Macaca fascicularis: one gene and its partner. Each later gene encodes a partner of the first gene's protein in a complex. Links are inferred from orthologs where the notes say so. Each region holds a gene or a part of one and is shown on either strand. Other genes may lie near its edges.

Region 1 (4,561 bases):
CTGCCTCAGCCTCCCCAATAACCAGGACTACAGGCACGTGCCACCATGCCTAGTTAATTTTTGTGTTTTTAGTAGAGAGGGGGTTTCACTATGTTGGCCAGGCTGGTCTCGCGAACTCCTGACCTCGTGATCCACCCACCTCGGCCTCCCAAAGTGCTGGGATTACAGGCATGAGGCACTGCGCCCCGCCCAATCTGATATTTTTAAATGTACATGAGCATGAATTGTTTTAATAATTAAAAGGACTGGCTGAGGTTCACACCTGTAATCCCAGCACTTTGGGAGGCCGAGGCGGGTGGATCATGAGATCCGGAGTTTGAGACCAGCTTGGCCAACATAGTGAAACCCCTCTCTACTAAAAACACAAAAATTAACTGGGCAAGGTGGCACGTGTCTGTAGTCCCAGTTACTCAGGTGGCTGAGGCAGGAGAACTGCTTGAACCTGGGAGGTGGAGGTTGCAGTGAGCCGAGAGCACGCCATTGTACTCCAGCCTGGGTGACAGAATGAGACTTTGTCTCAAAAAAAACCAAAAAAACAAAAAAAAATTAAAAGGACTAAATGAAAGGAATATTTTTCTAACTTTTGCATGCATAATCTTGAGAACTTTTAAATACTTATACAATTTCTCCCCTTTAAGGCCTTATTTTGTCAAATCATAGTATACCCACACATTAATATGTTCTATATACAATTCTAGTCAAAAATGTACAAATGACCTTTAAATCATAATGCAATCTGTTTACTTCAAGGGCAGATGTGTCTGAAACCATAGTACAATGCACATGTGTAATAATCCAGAAAAGTTCAAAAAGAAAAGAAGTGATAGCAGATATTTTTGTATGTACAAATTCAGACATGGAATTATTTTATGTTGCTCTTTTTTAAAATTTCTGTATACTTAGCTTTTGATTATTAATAATTAAATTACTTTTTGTAGCACATTATAAAATTGATAAAAGTTTTTTCATTTTTAAAATGTAACAGGTGTGCAGAATAACTTATTTTTCTTAATTTTAAAACTCTTGAAAATTCCTGAGTCTTCTTTTCAAAACATTCTTAATGAAGACAGTTAGTGTTAATTATGTTGTCATTTAAAAAATCCATGTCCATAACAGCTGTATTTTACTCCTTAACCTTGGGAAAATTATTTAATCTCATTAAGCTTCAGTTTCCTCATCTTTTAAATGGGAAGAATAAGAAGACTAGTTCATAAGGCTGTTAAGAGGATAAGAGGATCAACTGTGACGATGCATGTAAAATACTTAATGTAGTCTGTGGTGCATAATAAGTACTCAGTAAATATTACCTATGATTTTGCTTGCATTTTCACTATTGTTTTACTAATGTTAACATTTCTCAACATAATCTCTAGCTTTTGAAATACACTGCTTGAAAATTGCTTTAGTAGAGCACATTCTTCCCAGTTCTTATGGGAAGAAATGTGTTTAGCTCCCATAACAATTAACCCTCTCTTTTTTGCTATGTAACACAAATAAAATCAAATGTGAAGTACATTTAAATTTCTGTATTTAATATGCATGAGTTAGCTAACATTTATTTAACTTACTTATTTACTTACTTTATTTACTTATTAGCTAAGTTAGCTATCCTTAACAACAAATACATAGTTGAAATGGTTGTGCCTTAACATAATTCTGAAACAATTGCACGTTGTCAGAAAAGGGTTCCAACAATTAAATTTATGAAGCACTGTTTTCCCACAGAATGAAAGTAAGCTCATATTTTCATACTGTAGTGTATGATGGTAGATTTAAAAATAGCCTCAAAGTGCGACTTTTGAAAAAAACTGATTGGATTAATACATTAAAAATAGCTTAGCTAAATAAAACATACACTAACTTAAATACAAAATTTGAGGATAGATCTTGTGAATAGCCTGAAATCAGTTGCCTTGATTTCAATAAGAGAATTACTGAGGCAGAAGGTAAATTGTTAGTGTTTTCTGAAGCTATAATAAGAAGCGAGCTGTACAGTACCTTGATCAAGTTGTGTCCCACAGTGTAGACAGCTGCTAAATTTCCCTTCTCTCCAGGGGCATGCATACCTGTCCCATACCCATGCCAAGCCACTAGATATGGGTTGTGAATTGTAATCCAATATTTGACACGGTCCCCAAACGTCTGGAAACAGTATGTGGCATAGTCATTGAAGATATCTATTATGGTATCATTTTTCCACCCCCCATATTTTTCCTGTAGGGCCAAAGGCAAATCCCAGTGGTATAAAGTAACTATAGGTTCGATGTTTCTAAGCACTAGAGAGTCCAGAAGAGTATTGTAGTACTGGAGACCTTTTGCGTTGGCAACTGTTACTATTCCATCGGGGAAAAGCCTTGGCCAGGAAATTGAAAATTGATAAAAAGAAACTCCTATAAAATCCAGGGCTGATAAGTCTTTTTCCAGAAAAATGTAACTGTCACTGGAACCATTCGTGCTGCTGACATTTTTAAGGTGTGTGTGGACGAAATGATCCCATATAGAAGGTCCTTTTCCATCCTTCTTCCAACTCCCTTCCACTTGCAATGCTCCAGTCCCAACACCCCAGAAAAAGTTTTTAGGGAAAGTGTCATAGAGAAACAGCTGACTTTCATTTACCGGAGTAAAATTAGGATTTTTAGACCATACAGCTCTTCCATCTCCAGAGAATCCAGTAACAGCTCGTAGCAGAGTAAGTGCTGACAGGATGACAGATCTTTGCAGTCCCCCGTTGGACATTGTATTCCTATAGCGTATGGTTATTTCATCAGTGCTGAAGAAAATCCATTCATTCCCTGGAGATCCTGCCGCACAGCCTGGCTTCATTTGCCACCAACTGCTGGACTGTCTTATCAAAGCTTCAGTAAAAGCTTGTGATTGTAAAGCTCTGTCAATGATTAGCTTGAACTGGGAGACTGAGGATGGGTCATAGAGAGCAACGTAATTTGAGGGAGGTGGCCCTATTGCAGTCACCAATGCGTCTCCTTCTCTTTCATTATGGGAAAAATTAGATGAGAATGCATTGGTGACAAGAGTTTAAATGTGTAACTAACACCTATGTAAACACTGAATTACAATCACATTATTTTCTGTGTAGCCTTTCATATTGACCCAAACCTTTTCTGAATGTTTTGAACATTATTGAATAAGGTATATGCCTTTTCTATTTTTACAGTTTTTGTGTGGTAATTTTATAATCTCACCTATCAAGAAAAATAACATATACAAGTATACAGCATTCCTACATACTAATAGTAAGGAATTAGAAAACACAATCAGAAATGACACTTCTCCACAAAATTCTAACACACCTAAGAACAAGCTTAATAAATGTTACCTATTTCAAGAAAATTGTATCGGGAGACTTGAAAAACTTCAATGAGAAAATATAGCACTTTGTGGATGGAAAAATGGAATACTTTACAATTTAATACACTTAACTAAAGTCCTCTAATCTCTAATTTTATTTTTTAATTTTATTTATTTAACTAAAATTCTCCAATCTCTATTTTTTAAATTAACTCATTCATTTTTAACAACAGTCTCGCTTTGTAGCCCAGGCTGGAGTGCAGTGGTGTCATCAGAGCTCACTGCAGCCTCAACTTCCCAGGCTTAAGCAATCCTCCCACCTCAGCCTCCTGAGTAGCTGGGACAACAGGCACATGTCACCATGCCCAGCTGATTTTTGATTTTTTGGTAGAGGTGGGGTCTGGCTACATCCCCCAGGCTGGTCTTGAACTCCTGGGCTCAAACAGCCCTTCTGCCTTGGCCTCCTAAAGTGCTTGAGATTATAGGTGTGAGCCACCATGCCTGGTCTAATCCCAAATTTTAGTTCAAGAAAATTATTATGAGAGGCCAGGCACAGTGGTTCATGGCTATAATCCCATCACTTTGGGAGGCCAATGCAGGCAGATCACTTGAGGTCAGGAGTTCGAGACCAGCTTAGCCAACATGTTGAAACTCCGTCTCTACTAAAAATACAGTTATCTGGGCAAGGTGGCAGGTGCCTGTAATCCCAGCTACTTGGGAAGCTGAGGCAGGAGAATCTCTTGAACCTGGGAGGTGGAGGTTGTAGTGAGCTGAGATTGCACCACTGCACTCCAGCCTGGGCAACAGACCAAGACTCGATCTCAAAATTAAAAAAAAAAAAAGAAAAAAAAGAAAATTGTTATGAAAGTTCACTTGAAGAATAGGCAATATTTGTTTTTAAAAAGGAAAGAAAAACCTGAAAAAGAAGATAGCAAAGGCATAAACAACCTTCAGCATGATTCTGGAATAAATATAAACATACAGAAAGAAATACATGTACCTACAGAAATAAATATTGTGCCGAATCAATAGCCTCCAAATAACCTGTAAAAAATTTAATGTTTTACAGCCTGGGGAACATAGTGAGGCCCGATCTCTACAAAAAAAATTTAAAACCACCTGGGTGTGGTCATGCATGCTGTAGTCCCAGCACTTTAGAAGGCCAAGGTGGGAGGATTGCTTTGAGCCCAGGAGGTCGAGGCTGCAGTGAGCCATGATTGCACCACTGCACTCCAGCCTGGGTGACAGAATGAGA
Region 2 (4,235 bases), on another chromosome or scaffold:
ACTGGACAGCAAGCACGATTTCTCCCAAACATGCCAAATGATAAATAAACAAGGAACACAAAACCGAATAACTGGAGGACCTCCTTCTATTTACTCGGCTTGTCCTTTGGGAGAAATAAGTATTACATTCCCCATACAGAAGATGAAATGACTTCAAGTTTCTAGAAGAATGTGGAATCTTTATTTAAGAAAGAAAGAGGCCAGGCGAGGTGGCTCACGCCTGTAATCCCAGCACTTTGGGAGGCCAAGGCAGGCAGATCATGAGGTCAGGAGTTCGAGACCAGCCTGGCCAGGATGGTGAAACCCCATCTCCACTAAAAATACAAAAAAACTAGCTGGGCATGGTGGCACGACGCCTGTAGTCCCAGCTACTTGGGAGGCTGAGGCAGAAGAATTGCTTGAACCCCACAGGTGGAGGTCGCAGTGAGCCGAGATCATGCCACTGCACTCCAGCCTGGGTGACAGAGCGAGCGAGACTCCGTCTCAAAAAAGAAAGAAAGGAAGAGAGAGAGAAAGGAAAGAGAGAGAGAGAGAAAGGAAGGAAGGAAGGAAGGAAGGAAGGAAGGAAGGAAGGAAGGAAGGAAGGAAGGAAGGAAGGAAGGAGGGAGGGAGGGAGGGAGGGAGGGAGGGAGGGAGGGAGGGAGGGAAGGAAGGAAGGAAGGCAGGCAGGCAGGAAGGAAGGAAGGAAGGAAGGAAGGAAGGAAGGAAGGAAGGAAGGAAAGAGAAAGAGAGAGAAAGATCCTCAATCTGTGTTAGACCATGCACAGGGGATCAAGAGGCACAAAGGGGGCTGGGCCCGGTGGCTCACACCTGTAATCCCAGCACTTTGGGAGGCCGAGATGGGCGGATCACTTGAGGTTGGGAGTTCGAGACCAGCCTGGACAACAAGGTGAAACTCCATCTCTACTAAAAATACAAAAATTAGCTGGGCGTGGTGGTGGGCACCTGTAATCCCAGCTCCATGGGAGACTGAGGCAGGAGAAACGCTTGAACCCGGGAGGCACAGGTTGCAGTGAGCCGAGATCGGGTCACTGCATTCCAGCCTGTGGGACAGAGCAAGACTCTGCCAAAAAGAAAAAAAGAAAAAAAAGGCACAAAGGGATTTCAGGTGACCCAACCCCCAATTTGGGCAGAATGGCGGGTTAGGTTGATGTCCCCTGCTGGCCTCCCATCATTAGAAGCACTCCCCCCACCATCATATATGTCAAAATTAAAGTTGCAAGGGTGGGTTTGGAGCGGCTCTGGGTGGGAGTCAGCGTCCAGCGTGCCGACCACCCCGTTTCCCTGCAGTCCTCTCACGCAGGACTCCGCCATAAAACCTGAAACAGGCGCTCTGAGTACACGGAGCACGACAGAAGCACCGAGCAATTTTGAGACTCTTAAAATGCTTTGTCCCGCTGTTCACAAAGGAGCTGGTTGTGCTGGAGGCGGCCCCGCCTCTGCATCCTTTCTGGGGTGGGGGCCCCGGGCAGGCGCGGCCACCCCCGCCCTGGCCCCTGCTCCGCCAGGGAGTCCGGGGCTGCGTGTGAGGCCTGCGCGGGCCGAGACCTCACACAGCCTCCTCTGCGCGCGGGGCCGCGGGAGGGGCGCGGGTTCGTTCCTTTGAACTCCCAGCCTTTGTTCCAGGGCCACCAGAGCCCCAGCGCTCGTACACTTCCGGCCCCGGGACCTCTGCGGTTACCTGGGCCTTCCCAGCCAGCCGCCACCCCCTGCCCCCACCAGAAAGCGTTTACAGGACAGGTGAGGCCCGCAGGAGGAAAAGCACGCCTCTGGCGCAACTTGACTCCAGCGCATCTGCGTCTAAGCCACATCGTGCTCCTGGTAGATTAAAAATTAATTCTAAAAAAACTCGCCTATCCCAAATGCACTGTTTTCTGCCTTGCTGGACAATTGATTTGTTTTTTAAAGGAAAGTTATGGGTAGACCCTCTTTTTTCTTTCCTGTTCTTTTTTTCTTCTTTTTATACTGGAGGGAGGGAAACGGAGGCGAGGACCACACACGCGCAGGCAGAGGCTGAAAAGGCCCGAGGTGGGTTTTCCTGTTTAATATCAAAGGAGGCCGAATAATGGGTTTCCTCGGTCCGGCTGGGCCGGCCTTTGACTCAATTGCAAATGCAAAGGCAGCTTTTGCCTATTCTCTGGCTACTGGCTGAGACCCTAAATTTCAGTAGAAAATCGTCGGACATGCACTTAATCGGTCTTTGCAATCTCCCTCAAAGTTGCACACGGGTCTGGTCGGAGGAGGCGAGAAAACCCTGGATTCGAACCAGCGCCTTTTTCTCCTTCCGGCCTCCGCCCGGGGACAGGCGTTGGTTCCCCGCCCCGGCGCATCCGCCCCGTGGGGACACTTACCAGCCCCTGCATCTTGCCGTCGGCGCCCATGCAGAGGTACCGCACGCTGTGCACGCCCTTGATGGCCACGGTCCGCAGAGCTACTGCCTTGATCTCCAGCAAACCTGGGCGCAGGGAAAGCGAGAAGCTGCAGCCGGGACCCCCGGGGCTCGCACCACGTGGGTGCGGTCGGTCCACGAGCCTGTGCCTCTCCCTAGCGTCCCGCGCCGTTTGGGGACTAAGGGAGGGATCCTAACGCCCAAGTGCCAAAACCTGGGGTTCCCAGGAGTTGAGGGGTCCGCAGGAGCCTAAGGGTGGCAAAGGAAGGAAGGGCGCTGGGGTGGGATGCGCGGGGCGGGGCGGGCGGGGGACCTGGCTGGCACTCACTGTGCGCGCTTTGGCCCCGCGCGCAGTCCACGACGCCGTCGGTGCGGATGCGCAGGAAGCAGCTGGAGAGCCCATGGGGGCCGGAGGTGTACAGGTGCCGCAGGCGGATGGGGTCGCCCCAGCCGTAGTGCACGTGGGGCCCCGCGTCCGAGAAGGCGAGGGGACGCCCGGCCACGGCCAGCCAGAGGCTGGCCAGGATCCAGGCGTGGACCACCACACACCCGCTCCTCATGGCACCTCCCTGGGGCTCTCGGCGCAGTTCCGGCGATGGGGGTGCGGGAGGCTGGGCGGCGACCGGGATGCGCTGCGGGGCTGTGAGTGCCGGATTGGGATGGCCGTGGCCCTCGATCCTGGACGCAGCGCTCCTGCTCCGACGGCGCGGCGGCTCCGGGCCGGCAACCTTATATAGTAGCGCCTTACGGGCCCCGCGGGTAGGTGCCCAAGACACCCGAGCATTTCTTATCGGGATTGCATCAAGCCTCCGCCCCCCGCACACACCCACTCACACCCCGCCTCCGGCCCCAGCCCCCTCCCCGGGCCCGGGCAGGCAGGCGGCGGCTTCTTGTCCCAGCCGGGGTGACCCCGCCCAGGCCGTTCGGATCTGCGGGAGGAGGAGGCCTCGTTTAGCGGCCGGGTTTCGGGGAACTCCTCCCCACCGCGCAGCGGCCCCGAGGTTCTTGGCTGGGAGAGTTTGACTTTGCAAAGCAATCGACAACTGGGGCCCCTCCCCCAGGCGTCGGGCTCCCAGTGGATGCTCTCGGCATGGGGCACCAGCAGGGGCGGGGTCAGGAACCCCGGGGTCAGAGGTTTGGGGGCACCGAGTTTTGCCTCCTTCACCCTCTAGTCGGTAAAAGCCTCACCTCGGCCTTAGGGTCCTTCCCCTTAAAAGGCCACTCGCACTCCCTCCCCCGACTTTCCCAGCCCAGCACATCTGACGTCAAAGCCGTCCAATAGAATTTCCCCCCGCAGTTCCGACCGTCTCAGGTTCTCCCAGCTTCATCTTCTTGCAATTCCTGCCCCGCCCCTTTTATCCGGGTAAATTGCCCCCCGACGGGGGGCCGGGCGCGCTCTCTGCGGGCCGGGAAACAATGGGAGCCGCGCGGACTGTAGGTGGCGCCGCAGCCTCGGCGTCGGCCTCGGCTTTGCGCTCCTGGCCGCGCGCCCCTGCCTGCTCCGCGCTCGCCCCGGCCCCGCGGCTGTGCCCGAGATGCTACCTGAAAGGGGGCACTGGGAAGAAGGCTCTCGGGCAGGGGGTGCGGGCCAGCTGCGGGATTGGTGAACCCCAGCTTCTCGGCTGGAGGGTGATGGAGGCAGAGGCGCAGGGAGGGAGGCCTGGGCCTCCGTTTCCCGGTTTTTGAGCTGTCTTGTGTCGGGGGTCTGGTCCTTCAGTCCCCGAGTCTCTGCGCACGGGGTCAGGGGGAACAGCACGGTCGGGGAGGTCGAGAGCGCCTTACCTGGTGGGGAGGGGTCGGGAAGGGGCCAAGGAACGGTGATGGGCGCCCCTGGCTTCCGGGCATG

Evidence for each region.
Region 2: the proteins of KLB (region 1) and FGF19 are in contact, whole or in part, in a crystal structure (PDB 6NFJ), measured with the Homo sapiens proteins. The link is inferred for Macaca fascicularis from reciprocal best matches to the Homo sapiens genes KLB and FGF19. Residues at the interface, in NP_783864.1 of Homo sapiens: Phe379, Lys380, Val392, Leu394, Trp419, Phe420, Thr421, Asp422, Val425, Thr431, Tyr434, Met435, Asn438, Tyr643, Glu693, Arg696, His743, Asn824, Phe826, Met832, Gln848, Phe849, Leu850, Gln851, Ile853, Leu862, Phe931, Phe942; in NP_005108.1 of Homo sapiens: Leu192, Thr194, Asp195, Ser196, Met197, Pro199, Phe200, Leu202, Val203, Thr204, Ser211, Pro212, Ser213.

The regions. Positions count from the first base shown.
Region 1 is NC_088379.1:38,693,962-38,698,522, reverse strand, and holds the start of KLB (beta-klotho), read right to left. Parts: upstream 2,915-4,561; 5' UTR 2,824-2,914; coding exon 1,999-2,823; intron 1-1,998.
Region 2 is NC_088388.1:4,954,119-4,958,353, reverse strand, and holds the start of FGF19 (fibroblast growth factor 19), read right to left. Parts: upstream 3,096-4,235; 5' UTR 2,950-3,095; coding exon 2,718-2,949; intron 2,456-2,717; coding exon 2,352-2,455; intron 1-2,351. UniProt on the Homo sapiens protein: Involved in the suppression of bile acid biosynthesis through down-regulation of CYP7A1 expression, following positive regulation of the JNK and ERK1/2 cascades. Stimulates glucose uptake in adipocytes. Activity requires the presence of KLB and FGFR4.